2 linked regions of the Caenorhabditis elegans genome follow. The protein of the gene in region 1 interacts with the protein of each later gene in a pairwise test. Each region holds a gene or a part of one and is shown in the gene's direction. Other genes may lie near its edges.

Evidence for each region.
Region 2: the proteins of Y53F4B.11 (region 1) and arrd-24 interact in a two-hybrid assay, tested with the Caenorhabditis elegans proteins (2 studies listed by BioGRID).

Annotation. Positions count from the first base shown.
Region 1 is NC_003280.10:15,005,963-15,018,666, forward strand, and holds Y53F4B.11 (uncharacterized protein), read left to right. Parts: upstream 1-4,785; 5' UTR 4,786-4,829; coding exon 4,830-4,928; intron 4,929-4,991; coding exon 4,992-5,219; intron 5,220-6,776; coding exon 6,777-6,977; intron 6,978-7,022; coding exon 7,023-7,169; intron 7,170-7,307; coding exon 7,308-7,397; 3' UTR 7,398-7,446; downstream 7,447-12,704. Other genes in the region: Y53F4B.9 (AAA+ ATPase domain-containing protein), read right to left, coding at 1-415, 1,131-1,868, 2,069-3,163, 3,217-3,330, 3,677-3,925, 4,105-4,303, 4,349-4,449; Y53F4B.51 (uncharacterized protein), read right to left, coding at 7,540-7,631, 7,672-7,738, 7,786-7,844, 8,309-8,366.
Region 2 is NC_003284.9:13,973,928-13,985,541, reverse strand, and holds arrd-24 (Arrestin C-terminal-like domain-containing protein), read left to right. Parts: upstream 1-5,024; 5' UTR 5,025-5,035; coding exon 5,036-5,217; intron 5,218-5,261; coding exon 5,262-5,367; intron 5,368-5,461; coding exon 5,462-5,624; intron 5,625-5,667; coding exon 5,668-5,777; intron 5,778-5,822; coding exon 5,823-6,302; 3' UTR 6,303-6,473; downstream 6,474-11,614. Other genes in the region: F48F7.6 (Zf-C4pol domain-containing protein), read right to left, coding at 6,762-7,157, 7,307-7,492, 7,575-7,709; F48F7.5 (C2H2-type domain-containing protein), read right to left, coding at 8,622-9,188, 9,395-9,583, 9,635-9,741, 9,807-9,882.

The DNA of each region.
Region 1 (12,704 bases):
TGCATTGATTTCTATTCAAGCAAATCTCCAAATGGGGCCTCCGTAGCTCAACTTGTCCCCATCGTCGTGGCCATTCTTGCTCACAAGTGAACACAACCGGCACGGCAGCTTCATTCACAGCTTCCAGAAGTCCAAGGATCCCATGACGATCGAGAGTCTCAAAGAACACATCGACATGCTCAAAGACCACTAGACTCTGCACAAAATCCTTTGGCGCCAGTTGTGGTGGTGGTGCTGGAGTTTCACGCGGAATTGTCTTGTAAAACGGGATGGTACGAGTCGGATGCGGCTGCTGATCCACACGATGAGAACGGAGAGCCTCCTGAAGGTTTCTCTTGATCTCTGAGCCACTTCTGCCGGTTTCCGGGCCAATTGAGATTATACGCATGTTTTCTTGCTTGGCGAGAGCACGGAACTGCAAAAAATTTTAAATTTTTGGAGAAAACCAGATTTTTTTCTTGCAGAAAATGTTAGAGTTTTCGTTTAAAAAAAGACGATTTTTTAACATTAATTTTCGTTGAAAAAACACAAGAAGTTTACCATTTTTGAGTGCCGTAATTGCCGGAAGTTTTGGAAACCGGCAATTGCAGGAATTGCCGGAAATTTCCAAAACCGGCAATTGCAGAATTTGCCGATTTCCGAAAATTTTCAAAACTGGCAGTTGCAGAAATTGCCGAATTCGCCAAAAATTTCCAAAACCGGCAATTGCCGAATTTGCTGGAAATTTTCAAAACTGGCAATTACAGAAATTGCCGAATTCGCCAAAAATTTCCAAAACCGGCAATTGCCGAATTTGCTGGAAATTTTCAAAACTGGCAATTACAGAAATTGCCGAATTCGCCAAAAATTTCCAAAACCGGCAATTACCGAATTTGCTGGAAATTTTGGAAACCGGCAATTGCAAAAATTGCCGAATTCGTCAAAAATTTCCAAAACCGGCAATTGCCGAATGTTTTCAAAACAGGCAATTGCAGAAATTGCCGAAAATATATAAAACCGGCAATTGCCGAAATTGCCAAAAATTTCCGATTTCTGAGCAACCCTGAATTAGAGCTTTTTTATTCAAAAGTTTCTGATTTTTTTCCAAAAATTCCAATTTTTTCTGAAAATCTCCAAGCTTCATCCCGTACCAAGGCGGTCTTTCCAACTCCAGACGGTCCAATCAACACCAGAGGATTCTCCAGATCATCATCCTGATGCTCCACTTCATAATCCTCATCGGATTCATGATCCTCATCCCGTCGCTTCCTCTTTTTCTTCTTCCCCTGCTGCTCCGCAATCTCTCGCTCCATGGCTTTCCGCACTCGACGCTTCCATCTTCGGAGCCATCCCCGCACCGTTGGCTCTTCTTCGGCTCCTTCTACCAGTGAATCCATCGTCGACGGATATATTGTTGTTGTGCAGCTATTTTGGGGCACTTCCAGCTTTTCCAGCGATGAATCCGGCGGATTTTGAGCCATTGTGAGTTCCCGGCTTCGCTCGTAGGGCTTATGGAGCTCAAGGAGATCCTCCTGAAGCTCAGAGACAATCCCAGTTGAATCTAGAATTTTTGGGTCGAAACTTCTAGATTTGAAGATCTTCCCATCGTCGATTTCTGCGAATTCCTCGAAAATCGCTGGCAAAATTGGGATTTTCTCGAAAAACTGATAGGTTTCAGCGCACAAATCTCCCCAATGCTCTTTTCGACGGACTCCGTTGCTCTTTTTGGAGAAGCTGGAGCTCGGCGGGCCTGAAACTGATCCCATTGGGCTATCCGATAGAGTTGTCACTTTTGGAGTGACTGCAGGCTTCACAGGTTTTGGAGAGAAAATCGAGAAAACTGGGCCGGAGCTGCTGGGCTTTTGGCTTGTTGGTGGAGTTGATTTGGTCTGGAAAATTGGGTTTTTAAGAAAAAGAAGGCTTTTTCGGCTAAAAATTAGGCTTTTTCGAATTTTTTTAATAGAAAACCAGTGTTAGTTTCCAAAAAAAGCTTTCAAAAAAAATCATTTTTCGACGATTTTTTGATTTTCTAGAAATAAATAATTGAATTTTCTTAATTTTTCTCTCAAAAATCTAAAAAATTGTGTACCTCCGCCTTTTTCAGCTCTAGCATCTTCTTATTTCCCACTACTGGAGTTGATTTCGAAAAAATCGTCGCCAATTTCCCATTTTCCGGCGCCTCAGGACTCGAAATAACCACAATTTCTTCCTCGGTTTCCGGCGCTGCGTCGTCAGAAGTGGGCAGGGGCTTCGCAACTCTGAAGTACGCAGAAGATCTACGGATTTTGAGTTTCTTCTTCTCCTCTTTGATCTCTTCCGATGATTTTGCAGGAGGCTCCACGGTTTTTTCCGGAGACTCAGATTTCCGAGATGGCTCGGCATCTTTTTCCAGGGTTTTTGGTTCCACGGATTTTGCAGCCATTGATTTCCGAGCTGTTCGGACCTTAGGCTCCACCTCCTTATCCAGAGATTTCGATTCCAGAGATTTCGATTCCACGGAGTTTCCGGAATATGCAGAGGATCTTCGCGATCTCTTCTTCTCAGCTTCAAGTGGTTTGGAAATAGATTCCACCTCCTTTTCCGCAGATCCAAAGTACGCTGAATATCTGCGATTTTTGCGTTGTTTCTTCTCGGATTCCACCGCCATTTCCACACAGTTGACTTCCACGGAGTCGGCTTCCCCATCCAGAGACACCACAGGTTTCTTGGCAGATCTCGGCGCGAAAAAGCTGTGAATTTCCGATTTAAGAGGTCCTCGTTTCGCCAGGGGCTCCAGATCATAGCCGGGATCGTGGTTTTCTCGTTTTTTCGAGCTGCTTTCCTCGCGTTCGTCTTCCAGCAAATCACACGACTTCACCGGAGGCTCTATGGCATCCGGATTCAGACGAAGCGATCTACGGGATCGCTTGGATTTTTGCTCTGGCTCCTCCAATCTCGGCTTCTCAATTTTCGCTGGCGACTTCAGAGGTGACGCTGCGCCGAGGATGAGAGATTTCCGGCGTGATGATGGTCGCGTTTTCGATTCCACCGATTTCGTGTTCACCGACTCAAGTGCGGTCTCCGTCACAGATTCAGCCGAGTAGGATGCAATTGATGACGTGGATGGTGCAGAGCCTCCTCCTCCGTCGCCGAACACCATTTCCGCGTTGAATTGGAAAACGTCCTCCGATTGCATTTGCTCGAGCTGAAAGAAAAAATTGAAGAAAAAATCAATATTAGACTCCACCCATTTTTTACCTTTGCCTGTGACGTAGGTGTCAATCGGAGTTTTACTGTGCTGAGGCGTTCTCTGTTCGGATTCATCGTGTCCTCCTCATCGTCCGAGTGTGGCATCACCAAATCGTTTGGATTCTGCAAAAAAAAGAGATTGTCCGAGAGGAGTACACGGGGAAAAGTTGCAGATTTTGATGAAAATGTGAAGTTTTTCGGGTGAAAAAGTGTCAAATTAGTGTACTTTTTGTGAAAATAAGCCCATTTTCAGTAATTTCAGACTTATTTTTGGCTTTAAAAATACTAAAAACGCCAAAAACTGGAAAATTCACGGATTTCCGAGAGAAAACTTGGTTTTTTCAACGAAAATCTGGCATTTTTCAGTTAAAAACCGCGCTAAAAACGTGTTTTCTCTTAAAATTTCGGGGACTTTCAGCGATTTTTCGGCAAAAAATCGATTTTTCAGCTTATTCCGCAGCCTACTAACATAATTGGGCCTCGGCGTTATCACTCGAATCGAGCATATCTTGTTGAACTTCAGTTTTCCCGATGTTCCACGCTTTTGCGGCGTTTTCGACATGCTTCTACGATATTTCTGCATCACACGTTGAGCGGCCTGCTGGGTCAGCGATTTTCGTGGCGGGATCATCGCACCGTCAGCTGGACGAACTCGAATCGGCGTTTTGGTGGCGGATTTGAGGCATGGCTTCACGGCGACACGTTCTCCAACGTCGAACTGAAATTAGAATCGTTGAAAAAACGTTGTGAGACCCATTTATCAGTTTTTGAATTTCATGAGCCTTTGAAATACAAAAATCGATCAAAATAATTGATTTTCAGCCAAAATCTTCATTTTTGAGGCACTTTTCCGGCAAAAATCTGGAAATTTTCAGCTTTCGCAGCTCAAATCCTCACCGAATATCGAATCGGCCGCTGACAAGCACGAGTTCTCGGTGGTGGCGGCGGCTGAACCAACGGTAGCGGCGCGATTTTCAGCTGAGCCATTCGTTTCGGCTGTACACGCTTTTGAACGGGGCTCATCACGTCTTCGGAGCCGGAACTAATGAATGAGCTCATGATTTTGATGCCAAGCGAGGAACGACGGCGAGCAGGTCTGGAAATTGAGAGATTTTATCGAGAATTGAGGGTAAAAACCAACCTTTTTGGTTCTTCCGTATGTTCCTTATGCTCTGGAATTGGCTCTGGTGGTGCCGATGTGGATGGAAGTGAGTTTTCATCCAAAGTAGGATTCTCTTCCATTTTTACTGCAAAAAAATCGATAAATGACGGAAATTCAATGATTTTTCATGGGAAAATGTGAGAAATTAAGCGAATAATTCGATTTTTAACATAAAATCTGTGAAAATTGAAGAAAAATCGAGAACAACTGATTTCATGGAATATTCCAAAAACCACGAAAACTGAAAATTTTCCCTCCGAAAAGAAAATGAAAATCAACATTTCGCGCTGTCTCACTAGAGCGCGCTTGCGCGCACCTCTCGTTAAAAACGCGGCAATTCAAATCAGGGTTTTTTTGCGTGAAACCCCAAATGACAGGAAAACGTGTATAAACTTCGAGAATGTTCGATTTTGATTAAACTAGAAAAAAGAACCACAAAAAATCAATCATTTCCTTTATCATGGAAACCGAAATTTGTGAGCAACTCGGCGATCTTCACTTGGACAAGGAAGCCATCTTGCTCCGCGCCGAGCAAATCGAGCAGGACATCAAGGCACGGGTGAGAATTAGAATTGGAGAGCACTTTGCAAGCCGGGAATTTTGAATTGCTCTTTTTTTGCAGAAGTACTCGGTGATTCCACCATTGTCCGACGAGGAGCAGAACCTTCTGGACGCTGAAATCGCTAAGCGAGCTGCTCCGCCGCCGGGTGTCCCGGATGCCGCCGATTTTCCGCTTCACGACATTGTGAAGGAGTTGGGGCTCGATAAGCCGGTCGATGGGACGGATCCCGAGTTTTATGAGGAGCTGAAGGCCAAGGACGCGAATACGGTCTACAAGAACATGAAAGATGTAAGCACACTTTGTTGGGCAGAGTCAAAATACACCAGATTTGACGCGCATTTTTTTTTTGAATTTTTGGATGAAATGCAGTGCCCCAACAATTCTGCCTGAAAATTTGTCTCTGTCATGGGCATTGAACCAGGGATGGGAGGCAATTGTCGTTTTCCGGCAAATTCGGCAAATCGACAAATTGCCGGTTTGCCGGAAATTTTCATTTTCAGAAAATTGCAGATTTGCCGGAAATTTTGAACTCGGGCAATCTGCCGGTTTGCCGATTTGCCGGAATTTTCATTTTAGGAAAATTGCAGATTTGCCGAAAATTTTCATTTTCAGAAAATTTCCGATTTGCTGGAAATTTTAATTTTCGAAACATTGCCGATTTGCCGGAAATTTTGAATTCGGGCAATCTGCCGGTTTGGCGATTTGCCGAAATTTTTCATTTTAGGAAAAAATTCGGACATTTGCCGGGTTGCCGGAAATTTTCATTTTCAGAAAATTGCCCATTTGCTGGAAATTTTCATTTTCAAAAAATTGCCGATTTGCCGGAAATTTTCATTTTAGGAAAAAATTCGGGCATTTGCCGGGTTGCCGGAAATTTTCATTTTCAGAAATTTGCAGATTTGCCGGAAATTTTGAACTCGGGCAATCTGCCGGTTTGCCGATTTGCCGGAATTTTCATTTTAGGAAAAAATTCGGACATTTGCCGGGTTGCCGGAAATTTTCATTTTCAGAAAATTGCAGATTTGCCGGAAATTTTGAACTCGGGCAATCTGCCGGTTTGCCGATTTGCCGGAATTTTCTATTTAGGAAAAAATTCGGACATTTGCCGGGTTGCCGGAAATTTTCATTTTCAGAAAATTGCAGATTTGCCGGAAATTTTGAACTCGGGCAATCTGCCGGTTTGCCGATTTGCCGGAATTTTCATTTTAGGAAAAAATTCGGACATTTGCCGGGTTGCCGGAAATTTTCATTTTCAGAAAATTGCAGATTTGCCGGAAATTTTCATTTTCAGAAAATTGCCGATTTGCTGGAAATTTTAATTTTCGAAAAATTGCCGATTTGCCGGAAATTTTGAATTCGGGCAATCTGCCGGTTTGGCGATTTGCCGGAATTTTTCATTTTAGGAAAAAATTCGGACATTTGCCGGGTTGCCGGAAATTTTCATTTTCAGAAAATTGCCGATTTGCTGGAAATTTTCATTTTCAAAAAATTGCCGATTTGCCGGAAATTTTCATTTTCGGAAAATTGCCGATTTGCCGGAATTTTTCATTTTCGGAAAAAATCCGGGCATTTGCCTAGTTGCCGGAAATTTTTATTTTCAGAAAATTGCCGATTTGCCGGAAATTTTTAATTCGGGCAATTTGTAGATTTGCCGGACATTTCAATTCCGGCAATTTTCCGATTTGCCGGGAAAAATCGTTTGCCGTCCACCCCTGCACCTCATAACGCCCATGTACCAAATTTGGCGAGAAAAAATATTGCAGAAAAACTGTATTTTCAGCCAAAAACAAAAAAGAGCGCGGCCTATGCGTCATATCTGAAAATTCTAAAATTTGGACACTTCAGGTTCCGGATTCCATCGCCGCCAAGTACCTTCCCGACCTGGCTCGACGCTTCGTGGAATTCGAACGACGTGTGAAACGTGTCGAACGGATGCTTTGGGCCCTCCCGCGTGAGGATCGTAGCCTCGAAGAAGATCGATTCGAAATTCTCACCGAACTTCTCGACAAGAGTTGCCAAGGATTGGAGATTTGGGAGGAGCACTGTGTAAGTCTGCAGTTTTGCGTCAGATTTGATGTATTAGGATTTCAGGAGCGAAAAATCCCACTTGGGCATCGTTGTGTGCTCGAGGGAGAGCTCATTCATCTGATCACTTCGAAATTCGATTTAATCGATAAAATTTGCGGAGAATTTGATAAGTTGAAGAATAAACGCTCGGAGGTCAACGATGAACGTGATGTGAGTTTGTGTTCCCGTGCACCATATCTTACGCGCAAAGTTGTATTTTTTTTTCAATTTTGCGCGTCAAATACTGTGTTTTCGCGATTATTCAAACATTTCAATAGGAGTTTTATCGATTTTTAACCAATTTTGCAGATGCTCCGCTACGAAATCCGTCACTGTGACATGATCTTCACGGAGATTCACGAGAAGTTTTTGAAATCTTACTTGGAAATGGATTGGTGAAGAAATATTAATAGATTTTTTTTTCGATTTGGAATAAATTATTGCATTTATTTTTTTATTACTGATTAAAAGCAATTATTTACACAAGCAATACAATGACACCACAATTGACGCGCAAAAGTTTATCAACAGAGCGCATTTGCTAGAAACGTCCAAACATTGAGAGAAGTGCATTCAGAACAGCCGATTTCGGACGTTGTTGGGACGGAGTTTTCGGCGGTTTTGTGGAAAATTCTGGAAAACAGTTTTTTTAAAGCAAAAACTTGAAGTTTACCGAAATTCTCCACGGACCCATTTTTCACAGTGGAGCCAGTGAATTTTTCAGTGCTGTTGGTAGGTTTCTGGAAATAGTATTGATTTTTTTTCCCGGGAAATTTGGTGGCCTTACTTTTTCGAAATTGTTATTGATAGTGATGATTCCGCCGAAGAGGGGGATCCGGATTTGGGCTGAAAAACTTTTTTTTAGAAAAAAAAGTTGAAATCGCGCTCTATAGATAATTTTTTGTGGAATCAATAATAATTTTCAAAATTCGAACTCCAGGTTTTTCTTCAAATTTTCAAAGCAATCACGCTCTATTGAACTGCTGGACAAAATTATTGGCTCTATCAAATGCGATGTAAGAGTTTGCCGAATTAGGCCATTTTGGCTCGACCACCGCTGGAGTCGATTTACGGAGCGTCGCGTGTTGCGTCGCGGCCCGGAAAACTCAATGAACTTGTCCGTGTGGAGTACACGACGTTTAACTTCCAGTGTCCCATCTAATGCAAGTGCGCTCTACTGCTCTATTCGAGTTTTCTCAAAATTTTGAAAATTTTAGTGTAACTGCGCTCCGTTGCACAAACATAGTTTTTGGGGAGTCGATAATAATTCGAAAATTTCAAATTTCCTGTACTTTCAACCCAAAACTCACCAGAAAATACCCCGACGAGCAGCAATAAAACCACGAAAAATCCCAATTTTTTGCTCATTTTCCTGGAAATTCTTCTGAAAATCTCTTCTGAAAGGGGTCGATAGAAAATTCTCGAAAAGAAACGTGAGAAAAATATGAGAAGCTTGTGTGCTCGGCGAGCAAAGGGGGCTTCTCGGTTTGCTTCTCACCCCAAGAGACTTGTCGAATTTCTTGTTTTTTGTCTGTCACAGCTTCTTCCCCGTTTCTTCTTCTTTTCACACTGTTTCCGCTTCTCCGGAAAGCAGTGAGCAACTTCTCCCCTATTTTTTTTGAGTAAAAATAGGAAAAAGCAAAAAAAAATTCTGAGCTGCTCCGTCATCTTGTGATGCTTGATCCAATTATCCTGCTGGCTAGCTAGGTCGTTTTGATTGACATTGACATTTTGCCAGATTTTTCTTCTGTTTTTTTGATGAAATTCTAGTTTGAAGCTGCTCATTGAGCATAGTTTTTGAAATTTTTTTTAAACTGTATATGCACACGTGAACATTCGACAACTTTCGCCGACTTTTCTGAAGTGATCCGACAGATTTGAACATTTTGTACATTTTTCTACAATTAATCGGCAACTCTCGCCAACATTTTGGCAACTTTTCTGCAACTTCTTGAAATTTTTTGACAATTAGTTAAATTCAATTTTTTGTTAGCAAGAATTGAATTGACACCAACTAAGACAGATCTCTCGGCAACTTTTTGCAGCTATTTCAACAACTTTAAACAATTTTCTGTAACTTTTGGCAAATTTCTCGCAAAATTTGGCAGAAACTTGCCAGCTTTCTCTGCAACTTTCTGAAAATTTCTCGCAACTTTCGACAGCGTTTCTGTAATTTTCGAAAACTGTTGTGGCGACTTTCTACACCTTTTCAGTAGTTTTAAACAAATTTTCGGCGCCGTTCTGCAACTTTCCGGCAAATTTTGGCAGCAACTTCCGGTAGCTTGTTGAAAACTTCAACTGTCATTTTGGCAAATTCAGACAACTTTCGACAAATTTCGACAACTTTTGCCAACTTTCATCATTGTTTCTGCATCTATTCGGCAACTTTCGACATAGTTTCTGCAATTTTCGACAACTGATGTGACAGCTTTCGGCAACTTTTTGGCAATTTTCTACACTTTTTCTGCAGTTTTCAACATCTTTCCGGCAAAAGTTGGCAGCATTTTGGCAGTTCCCTCTTTAACGTTCTGAAAATTTTTGGCAACTTTCAGCAGCTGTTTCAACAACTTTTGACAATGTTCTGTAACTTTCAGCAAGTTGTCGGCAAAATTTGGCAGAAACTTGCCAGCTTTCTCTGCTAATTTCGGCAACTTTTCGACAATTTTTCCCAGTCCCATTATTCAAATCAGCTCGCCAAATCATCACGAGGGCACGCAGTGAGCAAAGAAAAAAAGACCAAAAAGAAAAAGTGAATGCAATTATCAGACGGGAATCAAGAAATGGCAGCGTCGTTTTTTTCTCCCATGGCGAAGTTTTTTTCGTCAGAATTTCAAGATTTTCAAGGTTTCTAGGCACAAAGGAGCTCCCTGAGCTCCTCGAAAAATTGGATCAAGTTTCAGAGCTTTTACAGATAAAAGGAGAGTCGTAGAAGGGTGTCTGATTCGATTTCTGAAGAAAAAGAAGACATTTGGACATGAGGGAGTTGTCGGACCACTTCCTCCGTACTCAGCGTGTCTTCTTTTTTTTCTTTTCTTATTTACTCGACTGACCCCCCGCAAAGTCTGATGTTCTTTTTCGGAACCTTTATTATTATAGAACCCTGCAAAACTGTCTGGTAGTGCATTGGAGCGCATTTTCCTCTAGAATAAAAATTTAAATTCCCACAAAATCTGCTTTTGGAGCTGCCCAAAACACCAAAGCTCTTTGTTTTTTTTTCTTCTAAAAATCTAAAAATTATAGTTTTCGCATAAATATATTTTGTATCTTTTTTCCCAGCGCGACAAGTCAGAAGCCGTCGATTATCTGAAAATTGTAGGAGCTCTGTGAGCACATTTTTTGCGATTTTTTGTTGGTGCTCAACGGTTGACACGCAATGGGCTCTTCAGTTTTCTGAAGGATTTTTGGCGGGAGTCTAGATTTTGAAATTTATAAAAAGTTTTTCGGCAAATTTTGGATGAAAAGCAATTTAATTTTTTTTTCAAAAATTAGAAGAAAAAAAAATTAAAAGCCCTACCTTTTCTAGTTGCAAATTACTGGAAATTTCTCACAAAAACCAAATATTTTAAATTTTCGTCACATGAAATCGCGCTCGACCGTACTACTGAATTTTTTGTAGAAGTGGCAGTAGTATCCTTGGCCCTTTTTTGTACAAAATTTAAAGAAATGTTTGAGTTTTTACAAGTTTTAGATAATTCTTCAGAAATTTTCAACAAAAAAATCCAACACAATTTTTTTTTTCGCAATTTCTGAAAACTCAAATTTTCAGCACAAGCTCATAATGTCAAGTAAGCAATTTGATACAATCTCAAATGTCACGTTCTCTCACAAATGTATGCTTCTGAGTCAATTTGTTCAAATTCCTATGGAATTACATATAATATCCATGCACACACACACACACTTCTGACTTCTTCTCGTTTCTCTAAATCTCCATCTTTTCTTTTGTCTATCGTTATCAGGATTGACGTCAATCTATTTAGCTTCTAGATTTTTTGTTGTTTTTCAAAGCATTAAAAATTCCAAAAACCTTTTTTTCTTGATTTAAACTTATATTTCTTCGAAAATTTCAGTCTCACTCGAAGCTTCATATTTTTTCATTTGAAAAAAATTTAAATATAACAAAAACAAAAGTTACTATAGAATCCCCGAAATTGGCCATTTGTGCGGTGGAGCGCACTTGCAAATTGTTAAGAATTTTTGAAATTTCTAATTAAAAAAACCCGGAAATTTTAAAATTCTAGAGCAATAGCTTCCTTTTTTTCTGCCAGAGCACTTTTGAATGGAGAAGCGGATTATGCAAATTTTTCCGGAACTTTTTTTTCTCGGGAGTAGCTTTCACTAACAAAAAGAAAGAAAAAAAGTAAAGTGTCTTTTTTTCAAAGAATTTCCGAAATCCGAATCTGACAATTCAATTTACAGCTTCGTTTTTTTTTCTTTTGGGAAGCTTCTTGAGTGGAAAGTTTAATATTCTGGAAGAACTATTTGGAGTGATTTTTTAAAGATAAAAAAAAATATTTTTTCATAGTTTCCCAGTCTGAAATCATTAAATTTTTGAGATTTCCTACATTTCACAACTCAAAAATTTGAAATATTTTCTGTGGTTCTTTCTTCCATTTAAAAATGTAACCGGCAAATTGCCGGATTGCCCATTTGCCGAAAATTTTCAATTCCGGCAATTTGCCGGCTTGCCAATTTGCCGGTTTGCCGCTTGTATCACATTTGCCTGAAATGTTGAGAGAGATTTTTTATTATACAGCAACACTTAAAATTGTGTCTTTTTGAAATTTTTTTCCCGTTTTCCTTAGATATTTTTATAGAATCTGCTTACTTTTCAAAATAGATGTCGGAAGCATTCTATGGTATGCGAACAATTTTGCCGATTGAAATCGAAATTCCGAAAAAAAATGTGCAAAACCACAACTTGCCGAAAATTTTTTCCGGCAAATTCGGCAAATCGGCAACTTATCAGCTTGCCGATTTGCAGGAAACTTTTAAATCCGGCAATTTGCCGATTTGCCCGGAAAGATTTCTGAAAAACAATTTTCTTACATGAAAGCTTTTGATTAATAAATTTCAAAGAATTCACAAGCTTCAAAAAAAATTTACCAAAAATCGGGTAGGCGTCTCTAGGCGACCTTCCCCCGAAATTTCCGGGATTTTATTTATTTTTTCAAATTGTCTAATCCCAAAAAAATACGAACAAAAAAGTTTGAACAAACATGCATGTCACTTTTGATAGAATACTGTCCCAAGAGGATTCGGGAAATTGCGAATTTTCGGCCATTTTCTGACTCTCCACAAAACTTTCTTGTTTTGCATTTTATCGATGAATTCTTGAATTCTCAGAAGATTTTCTGCTTGTTTTTTTTAAAGTTTTTTGTGCTCAAAACTATACGAAAATATGTTTTTATTAGTTTTAGATGGAAAATACATCTTATTATCAATTCCACAAAATGTTATATGTATACGGTGGAGCGTATTTGCTGAAAAGAAAATTTTGAGAAAATAATTTCCAAAAACAATTAATTTTTTAAAAAAGTGTTTTATTTTAGTATTCTATATATACATCGCACCTGCGGACACTTTTTAGGATTCGATAATAATTTTTTTTGAAAGATGGGTTATTTGAACTACTTTTTTAACTAGTTGATTTTAAAACATAAATATACAATTTTAATAAATTTTCATTATTGAAAAAAAAAATAA
Region 2 (11,614 bases), on another chromosome or scaffold:
ACGTTTTTGACCTTTTTTACGCGGTGTGGGATATAATCACTAATCCAACAGTATACTCATACGGGCCGGCTTTTGTGGTGTTTCGAAATTATGATAATTCTATGTTCACTCGAGAAATGAGTTTTTATATGGTTCTGGTCTATTGTGGATGCTTTGCTTTTTCATTGGCATGTTTTGGAGTTCATTTCATGTATCGTTATGGAACAGTTAACAATGATTTCCGTGAACGGTTTTTGTCAGGGAAAAAGATTTATATAATATTTGCGGTACCAATCCTGTGTGGAAGTTGGTGGAGTGTAATCAGTGGAGTGGCATTTTGTTTCGATGAATATTCAGACGAATATTTAAGGTTTGTATTAAAATAACTTTACATTACATTATCAAATTTCGAATCAATTTTTAGCCAACTTAACCCAATTTGTTTGATTTTCAGAGATGCTGTTAAAAACGACCTAAACTTTAATATTTCTAGTTTGGCCAGCATGGTTATATTTTTCTACCTGCCTGATGAAAACGGAAAACTTCATCCTCATTGGAAAACATTTTTGGTCATGACTAGTATATATACTATAACAGTAAGGAATTTTTTTGTATTACGAAATCATCTTTATTTTCAGTTTGTCTCTATTTTCAGTGTAATTTTTTGCGGTTTTAAATGCTATAATTGCATTTTGCAAGCTATGTCAATTACGACGGTCCAATCAAAAATCTCGAAAAGTCTTCAGCACCAGTTACTCAAAGCATTAGTGATTCAGGTTTTTGAAAACTACCTAGAAAATTTAGCGTTAAATCAATATTTCATACTCTCATTCCAATGGTATTGATGTATATACCGCTATTCTTCGTGTTTGCTCTACCTCTTTTTAATATAAATTTTCCATATGCGAGTACTGCTATATCTGCAACAATTTCCATTTACTTAGCCATTGATCCTCTACCAAGTATGTTCATTATCAAAGCTTATCGAAAAGCTGTACTGGGTAAGTTAACTAACAAATTGGACGCGTGTATAATTGTTTTTCAGAATTATTTGCAAAGCTTCTATCGCTAATCTGCACTTGCATCAAATTTCAGCCTAGACGGGCTCAATAAAGTACAACAGCTTGATAATCTTTTGACGTTTTTTTTTTAAAACTTGACTAACACATTTGACGTCTAAACATTCATTCGATTACCACATTCAAATAATTTGTTTATACAAATCTTCCATCGAATTTCTTCAGATCTTCAGAAAAAAAAAACGAAATAAATTAAGAATAAATGAACCTATTCACTTCAATGATTTTTGTCTTTTTTGCACTATCAACTGTACTAACAGAAAGTGAAATATTCTCTATAGAAATTCTAACCGATACAGAATTTGGTGATGATTATTATGAAAGTTCCACAAACTCCAGTTTGGAAGTTTATTAATTCTTTCGTATGTATGTTTTCATTATAAAAAATGTTATTTCAAGTTTAATTTCAGGACAATGACTTGCGAAACAAAAACCCGGGACATTCAAGCGAAACAATGAAAAGTTATATAATCGTTTTGTGATCATTTCAATTTTTGAATCAATAAAATGTTATTCTGTTCCGACATTTCTCAAGCATCGCATGCTAGCACACGTCACTGTTTTATTATTCCGAAAAATATAGAAACATGGCTTTATGAATAGTTTTTCGTACTGTTTAAAAGTTGTATTAAAGTTTGTTCTTCTGTAATATTTCATTTTTTAGTTTTCCAAACCACAGCTTGAAGATAAAAATTGAAAAATCAACTTAAGATTTATATAAATGTGTTTTTACAAAAATATCTACAAATATTAATACATTACGTAGGGAATTGCATCTTTTACATTTTGACATTGGAATGTGCTCATTGGAATGTGCCATGCTATACAAAATTATGTACTCCCAATTTTCAGGTTTATTACACTTGTGATGCGTTTTCTTGTTATCCTACTCATCGTAATTATCATCTTACCATTCGGTACTTTACAAATATTTTCTCTGCAAATACCAGAAGAAGTACGATACTACTCAGATATCGATGTTACCACAAAACAACAGAAAATGTTCTGTGAGTCAATTGTCAAAAATTTTATCAACTTGAATGTGTTTTCAGGAATAAACCGGCGGCAAAAATGATTAATCGTTAATGATTACAGTTCAATTTTATATAAACTTCTTTCTACGAAAATGAATCAGATTTTTACCTAAATGATACACATAAAATTCTGGACAACACATAATAAACTAGAAATGCAGCAGGGAATCCACGAACGGATTGGCTCCGGAGTCCAATGAAGCACGCCTCTGCATCATTATTTTTCAACGCACTTGTTCAAAATTGAAACTTTATGCTTCTTTTAGTGGGCTTCTTTTAGATAAAGTTTTTCGTTTTTCGAACAACAATTCTGAAAAAAAAATTGTTGTTTTTTTAATCTTAATTTTTAGCATGATTACGGACAGACAATGATAGTAAGAACAATATTACCTTTTTTCGTTAAAAAGTGTCCTTTTTACAAAAGGATTATACTCAATGTCTTTTTCAACTAAGGTGGTCTTCTCTATGAAGTTCAAGTCGGAGACAGAATGCAAAAGTCTCACGTTAATCAGATTCGGACTCGTTATGGTGACTACAGTCGTGAAGACATTTTTGAGGAAACTATCTATCCTCTGTTCTTTTCGACTCCAGGAAAGTTTACTAGCTGTTCAGACAATAAGTCAAGTTCCGGGGCCACAGGGGAGAAACTAATCTTTTTGATTCTTCAGGCTCGTCTGTTAATCCTAGATTGTCTTCCGATTCTTTTGGTTTTGTGGGGGAGAGTGGCGGTGATGAGATGTCCCGCAATGATGATCCAATTGTTACTTCGAATGGTTCCAGTATTGATGTTAATCGTGGAAGCCGAATCACAAGTGAACTAAAGAAGAAAGAAAGCAATGCAGTCAGAGGACAGCCACGTGGATCCTGCTCTCCAACCAACAACGACGTTTCGGCGCCCAGATACGCCTCACGTTCTCACTCGACCACCGAACCAAGCCATTCCGTAAGACGAAGTTCGCGAATTCGACGAGTACCGGACAGATATCCGCGTGGGTCGACATCCACACAGCTCGGTCAAGCCTCCACTCGCAACGGATGTCGATATACAGCTTCTGGTCGAAACCCCTCTTGCCAAGGGAATCGCTATTCGTCAATAAGGGGGGAAGGTGTTACGTGTTCGCACTACTTCGCGATAACAACTCGACAATAAGAAGCACATGAACTCTCGAACTCTCTTATTATTATTTCACGTATTATCCACATGTACATTCCTTGATCGAATCTATCATATTCGATCATTCCTCACTATTCTATCATACTGCACTCTTCTGCTTTCTAATAAAGCTCTTCTATTATTATTACAAAATATATAACATTTACTCTCTGGCTTCACCGTATTTTTTACTCTCGGGCTTCACCGTATATTTTACTCTCTGGCTTCACCGTATATTTCCCGAACTTTACCAATAATCTTAGAAAAAAATTGTCTATTCAGGGCCATATCAAGTCTCCCAAAATTCCAAAATTTTTTTTTTGTAATTTCGTCAAGGTATATGCCTGTAAAAAATAATTCGGATACAGAAACCCCTCTAGCGTGGCTTAAATTTAATTTCCAGGTCCCGAACTTTACCAATAATCTTAGAAAAAAATTTTCTATTCAGGGCCATATCAAGTCTCCCAAAATTCCAAAAATTTTTTTTTGTAATTTCGTCAAGGTATATGCCTGTAAAAAATAATTCGGATACAGAAATTCCTCTAGCGGAGTTCAAGCAGAAAAAGTGGATTTTCAGTCATACCTTTTAGTGCACAGTTTGAGAATGACTAAAAACGACCATGCAAAATTAGTAGATTTTCCAATTTTCAAAAATTAGAATCTGGCGTCAAACTAACTTTTTCAAAAATCCTGTAGCCATTTTGTTGCAAATTTTGTGTTCTTTCAGAATTTCGAAACCAAATTCAAAAAAGTGTGAAGCCAGGGAGTAAAATATTCTGTAAAGCCAGAGAGTAAAATATTCTGTGAAGCCAGAGAGTAAAATATACGGTGAAGCCAGAGAGTAAAATATTCTGCGAAGCCAGAGAGTAAAATATTCTGTGAAGCCAGAGAGTAAAATATACGGTGAAGCCAGAGAGTAAAATATACGGTGAAGCCAGAGAGTAAAATATTCTGCGAAGCCAGAGAGTAAAATATTCTGTGAAGCCAGAGAGTAAAATATACGGTGAAGCCAGAGATTAAAATATTCTGTGAAGCCAGAGAGTAAAATATTCTGTGAAGTTAAAGGCATGAAACTAAATACTCAAGATCGTCTTTTGTACATTACACTTCCAATTTAAGACTTACAGTTCCATTTCTTGCACTCCATGCAATCGTTTCTCCAGAGACGTAGTCAACTTCTGCAGAGTAGTGCACAATTTCAGTATAACTTTCCTCTTTTCCTTCACAATTACTAAACTCTTGTATGTCATTAGGTCTAGATGTCTTGGAGCTTACGTTCTGTATCGTCGTTCCCCTTCACTCCACTTCGTATGCGCAGCACCGTGAAAACAGATTTTCAAGAATCGGGCAGTGATTGGCTCGTTGGATCTCAAAACAACCTGCCCAGTAACAGTTTGACCTGGTGCATAACCTCTCGGGCTATCGAACACAATTCCAAAGTGATCCATATGTTCCATATCTAAACTAAAAAGATACAAGGAAATTTAGAATTTTAATTAAGGAAAATGTTGTATGATTATAAAATGAATGAAAACTGATAAAATGAAGTGGTTATCAAATAAATTGCCGTTTTATAATATAAATATGATTTCACAAAAATCAAATAACGCACGGTATAAGACTGATGACGACATTTTACCTCCTGATTACGCGTTTTGAGTCACAATATATTATAAAACGGCAATTTATTTGATAACCACTTCATTTTATCAGTTTTCATTCATTTTATAATCATACAACATTTTCCTTAATTAAAATTCTAAATTTCCTTGTATCTTTTTAGTTTAGATATGGAACATATGGATCACTTTGGAATTGTGTTCGATAGCCCGAGAGGTTATGCACCAGGTCAAACTGTTACTGGGCAGGTTGTTTTGAGATCCAACGAGCCAATCACTGCCCGATTCTTGAAAATCTGTATTCACGGTGCTGCGCATACGAAGTGGAGTGAAGGGGAACGACGATACAGAACGTAAGCTCCAAGACATCTAGACCTAATGACATACAAGAGTTTAGTAATTGTGAAGGAAAAGAGGAAAGTTATACTGAAATTGTGCACTACTCTGCAGAAGTTGACTACGTCTCTGGAGAAACGATTGCATGGAGTGCAAGAAATGGAACTGTAAGTCTTAAATTGGAAGTGTAATGTACAAAAGACGATCTTGAGTATTTAGTTTCATGCATTTAACTGATAACAAACTACAATATTGTTACAGGAAAAACTTCCATCTGGCCACCATGTCTTCCCGTTTGCATTTCCACTCCCGATAGAATGTCCACCTAGTTTTGAAGGTTTCCACGGCCACGTTCGTTATTCCGTGCGAGTTGAGCTTGACAGACCATGGAAGTTCAACAAAAACGAAAGGGAAGACTTCAAAGGTATTTCGAAAATTGTTAATGTGCGCAAAAAGTTATTTTTCAGTTATTCCCAACTTTGACTTGAATCATCTTCCGTTGGGAAATGTTCCTAGAATGATGAAGGATGTGAAGGACATTGGGCAAATATTTAAAAAAGGAATAGTAACAATAACTGTGAGTACAACGCTGCTACATTGATAGGTTATTTAATGCTTTCAGGTAACTATCCCCAAAGCAGGATATGCTCCTGGAGAATACCTGCCAATCACAATCGACATTGACAATGCTTCCAAACGTGCAGCAACGTTTGTGCGAGCTGAACTTCATCAGCACTCGCATTACAATGCTAGCAAAAACCATGGCCTCTTATGCACTCATTCGTCTTACCACGAACATCACAAGGATGAAAGCAAACGTATTGCAGAAGCTCGAAAAAGCATAAAAATTGCTCCAAAAACCGCTGGCCGTGAAATGCTGCGGATGAAAATCCCAAAGTCGCCACCAACATTTACAAGTCCCATTATCAGCATTGAGTATTGTCTTTCTGTGAGGTTGGACACTTTAACAACCCTTAATAATACATTGCACTGCGAGTTTGATATCATCATCGGCACAGTGCCAATAACTGAATCGATCGTGGAGCCAACGGTAACTACCTTTCCGTCTGATCCACCTGTCCTTGAGCGGCTGGATTCCTAACCTCCAGCCTATTCAACTGTGGTTCCAAGTGCTCCGACCGATGATACAGCGGGAACATCCGCTCTACCGCCGTCTTATGAGGAATCAATGTGTGTAACTAAAATTTAATTGGGTATTTTATTTTATTTTTTCTTGTATAATTGTGAATTAATAAAATTCTGGCCATTTACATTAGTCAATCAATTTTCTTTCTCTATTGCTAAACATTGAGTTTCAAAAATATTCATTTGGCAAAAAATAAGGTAGGGTAGATTCAAAAAACTATAAGGATGAATTGTAAATTACAAGTTTATTACAATCAACAGATAAGTTTAAAAAAAAACATTTCAGAAAATAATATGAGGAGTAGTGATATTCGAGATTGACGGTGAATTTTTATAGACAATTTTACAGGATTTTTTTGTGAGCCACTTTTTGTGCAGTAGTGAAACAAGATAACAGTGCAACGACGACAGCAACTTATTCTAAAAGATAGGAAATGTGAGTGGTTGTCCGGCCATAGACATTTGGACAATCTGCTTTAACAAAGACAGTACGTTGAGCAAGGCAGAAACGCTCAATAATTTCCGATTTCTTGGCCACAAGTTTGGCGGCAAGTCTTTGGCGAACACCTTTATTGTCTTCCTCTGCGTGTTTGTATTCAGATCTTTGCATTCGACGAGCTTTACGTCCTTGCTTTGCCAGAATGTGCTCAACCTCCTCTTCTGATTTTCCCTGAGCAATTGCTACAGCCTTCATCTCTCTTACAATTCTGGCTTGAACAATGTCCAATTGTTCCATGCGATTTCTGGTTTTAATCTCTAGATACTTCTCGAGATATTCCTCAACTTTTAGTTCATCCTTGTCAATTCGATGCTGAAAATTGCTTTTTAAATTTATACATCGTAATGTTTAATTTATATTAACTTTTTTATGATTGTATGCTAATTGTTTAGTCTTAGGATGTCTTCGGCCTGACCCTTTTTCGGTACTACATATGTATTAAACGTTTTTATAACACTCACTAAAAAGAGCTGAAGCTTGGTCCTTCCAGCGCACCACTTTTCCTCCTCGTGTTGTTTTTTGTTGCGGCAGAACGCACAGTTACCCTTTGAATCGATAATTTTCTTATTGGCCAGCAGGGCAGTGACCATGAGCTCGATCGTGTTGCGTTGAAGACAGATCATCAAAAAGGCGCTCTCCGCTTTTTTCTGAAATAAGTTTTAATACAATCATTAGGATACTTGGTTTTGGCTGGAACCATAATATGATTTTTCCGAAAAAAAAACATACCTGTGGAAGAGTCATATTTTTTGTTTTCTTGCAGCAATAACTGTCCTTCAAGTAGTTGCAGATTTTGAGACACTTCATGCAATGCAAGTCTCCCGGTCCTCCATCAATCTCCATAACGTAGGTCTCAGCCGACATTTTTCTGAAAGTAAGTCATTGATAAAAAAATTGTCAAAAAACTAATAACACAAGAGATGAGTAAGCTTAGTGTATAGCCAAAAATAATTCCCCCTCAATATTGCTATGGTATCGCACGCATTGCAAGGGAAAGAATAAACTAGGCAACGCGGTCGTGCACTGCGCGCCGCGTAGCGTGCAGAAGTGAGCGACAACGAGAGAATAACAAGGCAGCCGAGAGAGGATGGCCGAGAAATCGATTTGCCCATTTGACTAGCAGTAAATATGAGATAGCAATAGGAGGGAAAGAAGCAAATTGCGTAGTGGAATAAAACAAGAGAGATTAGTAACTGGAGTACACATAAATTGTTGATCAATAAATTTTAAACAGCGGAAAAATAAAACAGTCTAGTATGTTGAAAATAAGAGTTGCATGCAAGACTTTTTTTCGTTTAGTCATTTTAATTGGAAATGTAAATTTAGTAAAAATGCGGTAATTTAATTCAAGCAAAAAAATTAGAATTGAATAATTAAAAACACGAACACTTTTTTGCTCGAAGTACGGAATTGTGATCACTAATACACAATTAAGAGTCTATTTATTTTATCGCTTTGTTATACACCAGTTATTATAAACCAAACATAAAACTTTATTATTGAAAGAATTCCGAAAATCGATAAATCCCACAAAATAAGAAGTATACTGAAATACCAAAAATATCAAGGTTTAAATCACATAGACTACTTCCAAAATTTCGATCAACGACAGTGAAATATACGTATATATATATAATCAATTTTCCAAGAAAAATAACGACTAGACCTGTAGCACAAGGTTGACTTTAATAAATTGACACAGATGTAGTAGAAAATGTGCTACATAGTGTGAAAATGTTTTGAGATCAATAGAGAAAAAATATCAAAATCTCCTTCTTATGCATTAGAACAATTAGTAGCCCTATAGTTTTCTGGGATTGTTTCCTCATCAAAAGTCGGCTCATCTTCTACGTAATCCGTTTCATATTCGTCCTCCTCTTCAAATTCGGTATCATCTGAATCATTGGATTCGTCTATCAATTCCTTTTCTTCACGGTTTTCATCCACATCAGAACCTTCCAAATCAGTGGATTCGCCATTATCATCGTCTGCTTCCTCATCTTCATCTTCCTCCTCGACCCTTCTCCGTTTGTTTGGCAAAGAGTAACCAACATCGACAGTAGTTGAATCAAGCTCTCGTTTTCTTAGATATCGATTAAAACTGTCATCGATAAGTTCACGAACTTCGTCTAAATAGTGTTGATTTTTTTCGTCAAAGTGCTGTTTCAAATCGTCATAGCATACACTCCCGGATTCGATGTTTGGCACCTCTTCTGTAGCTGGTTTTGACAATCTGCCAGTTTTGATTTTTATGATATGCTCATCCAAAACATATTGTTGGAATAAAGTGCCAAGTTGCTCATTTGAATGCATCAAATTGTTGAAAAGAGCGCCGGTGTGGTTCTGAAAATTTATATTATCTGTCAATTTGTAGCATAATTGTTTCTCAAAAAATACTTTTTAAACTATATGAGTTTTCTTAACTAAGAAATAAGAAATAGAAGTAAGTAAAATTTTCTTTGACATTTTTCTTCAAATTATCCTCTTAACTGAACATGTGTATTTTTTTGATAAACTTTTCATTTTTAAATACTTATTAACCGACTAACCGCAAATTTAGAGAATTGATAATTAAACCGACGGCATCTTCTCATGTGCATTCTACAAGCTTGTACGTTTTCAAATTGTTCCTTGCAAAGTCCACATTTAAGATCCTCTTCCTGATTGGAAGCCCCACAAAACATAGCCAGATGATTTTGAGACATAAGTAGGCGATTAGCGTGTTGATGTACTTGGTACTAAAAAATCTGATAAAGCTGAGAGGCTATATAGGATTTGAAAATCCTTACATGTACGTCACGTTCTGCATTTTTGAGACAAACATCAATATGAATAGCGAAGGAATTTTCAGTGTTGAACTTTTCATCGCATTTGGAACATTGCAATTTGTACATATCTGGAAGAATGTTTGTATTATTATAATGTCAGTTTAAAACAATTTTTCTTTCAAAATAAACTAACCCATTACAGTCCCGCACGTTTCTATTTTAAGCGGCTGCTGCCAAATATCAAATATTCGTTTTGGAATGTCGGCCATTCTGAAAGATATAAAGGTGAAAAATCAGAAAATAAAATAAGAAACATAATTAGCGAGATGAACAAGCGAAAACTTGATATCAGCTGATGTAGATCGCAAAATAAAACAAGATGTGACGGAAAGAAATTGGATGGCAAACGAGAAGGAAGTGAGGACAAGGAAGTCACGAGAGAAATCAACTACGGGAAATAAGTGAGAACGACAGTTGGGCGTGCGGCAAAAATAAATAGGGTCCTGTTGTTATTTTCAGCAAAATATATTTACAAAAAGCTTGCAATTTATTTGGGGCAAAGATCAGAGGATAAAAATAGTCATTTTTGTTAATATAATTAATAAGAAGCATCGAATAAGTTCCACATTATCATAAGTACGTTTACTAAAAAGAAACAGAAACATATTAATGCTTCCTTTTGTTAAATTTAAAACAACTTTCCAGCCTTAATCTAAGCTTTCCCACAGTTTTGTACAGTAGTTTTAATTTCAGCAATAGTTTAAATCAAATCAAAATAAAATTTTGGATATTTGTTAAAAGTTATAGTGAACAACCTGAAGCGAATATATGGAAAAAAGATGTTTTCAACTTAAAAAAGTTGGTGTGAGGTTGGACAAACATATCATTTACTAAACCATGAAAAAACCATTTTGAAAATCTAGTAAAACTCTAGAGAAACTGATAGTTGCAAGAAATGAACACAGAAAGGTGTAGTCAGTCACGAGTCGATTAATTACCTGCCACATCAATTAATAGCTATCACTATCAAGATCGTTAATCGAGATTGCGGATCAGTAGAAAGTTTAGCGGAATGAGGTCAATCAACATTCCAATCAAACATACATAAGAAGCGTTCGAGTTCCTACGCACTTATCATTTGCAAGACGCATTGTTTCAAGACGGTTTGGCTAATGCTTACACACACCAGGAAGTGAAGCGATAAAACAAAAAATGAATGGTTGCGCAGCTGGCAATACAGGAAAAGTGGAGAATGTGTACAAAAGATAGAATGGGTTGTGAAGAAAAGCGGGAAGATGAACGTTTTTTTTGTACCCGCTAATTTTTTTACAATGCCGATCATCCACCAGTTTGCAGAAGATGATGAAAGTTTATGAGTGGAGAATGCAGAATAACGAAGAAAAATTGATACTGAAGAAAATGAAAAAGAAAACAAAATTTTTTTATCCAGCCTGCAGATAGGACTTGGGCTGTACGGGAGATGCTTCACAGTTTTACTAACGCGATTTTTACATTAGTATCTATTGCTGTAGCAGGCTAAAATAGGAAGACTCCATTTATTTAATAGGAATGAAAAAGTTTGAATTTAAAATTATTTATTAAAAGTAGTCTAAAAATTTCAGATTGAAAATTGTTTTTCTAACACTCATTTGAACTATGAAAATAATTCAAATGCTTTTATAAAATTTAAGGAAAAATGTAAGCTTTAAACAAAACTAAATAGTTTATATAATTTATGCAAATCAAGAATAAATAGAAAATGAAGCTTCATTCGGCAACGCCAGGCTAACACCCATAGAAACAAAAACGTCACTAAAAATCAATGGGCGCGCTTCTCGCGGCACAGAAAACGTAATACGCGTGCCGTCGTGCAAAGAACAATCATAAAAAGTAGTAAGAAAAAGCTCCGTGAAACTCGGCGGTTCAGCGGGGCGTGTTTGCATGTAAAAGGGTGGGTGTGTGTGTGTAGAACCAGCTGAGAGAGGATTTCAAAAAGAAACG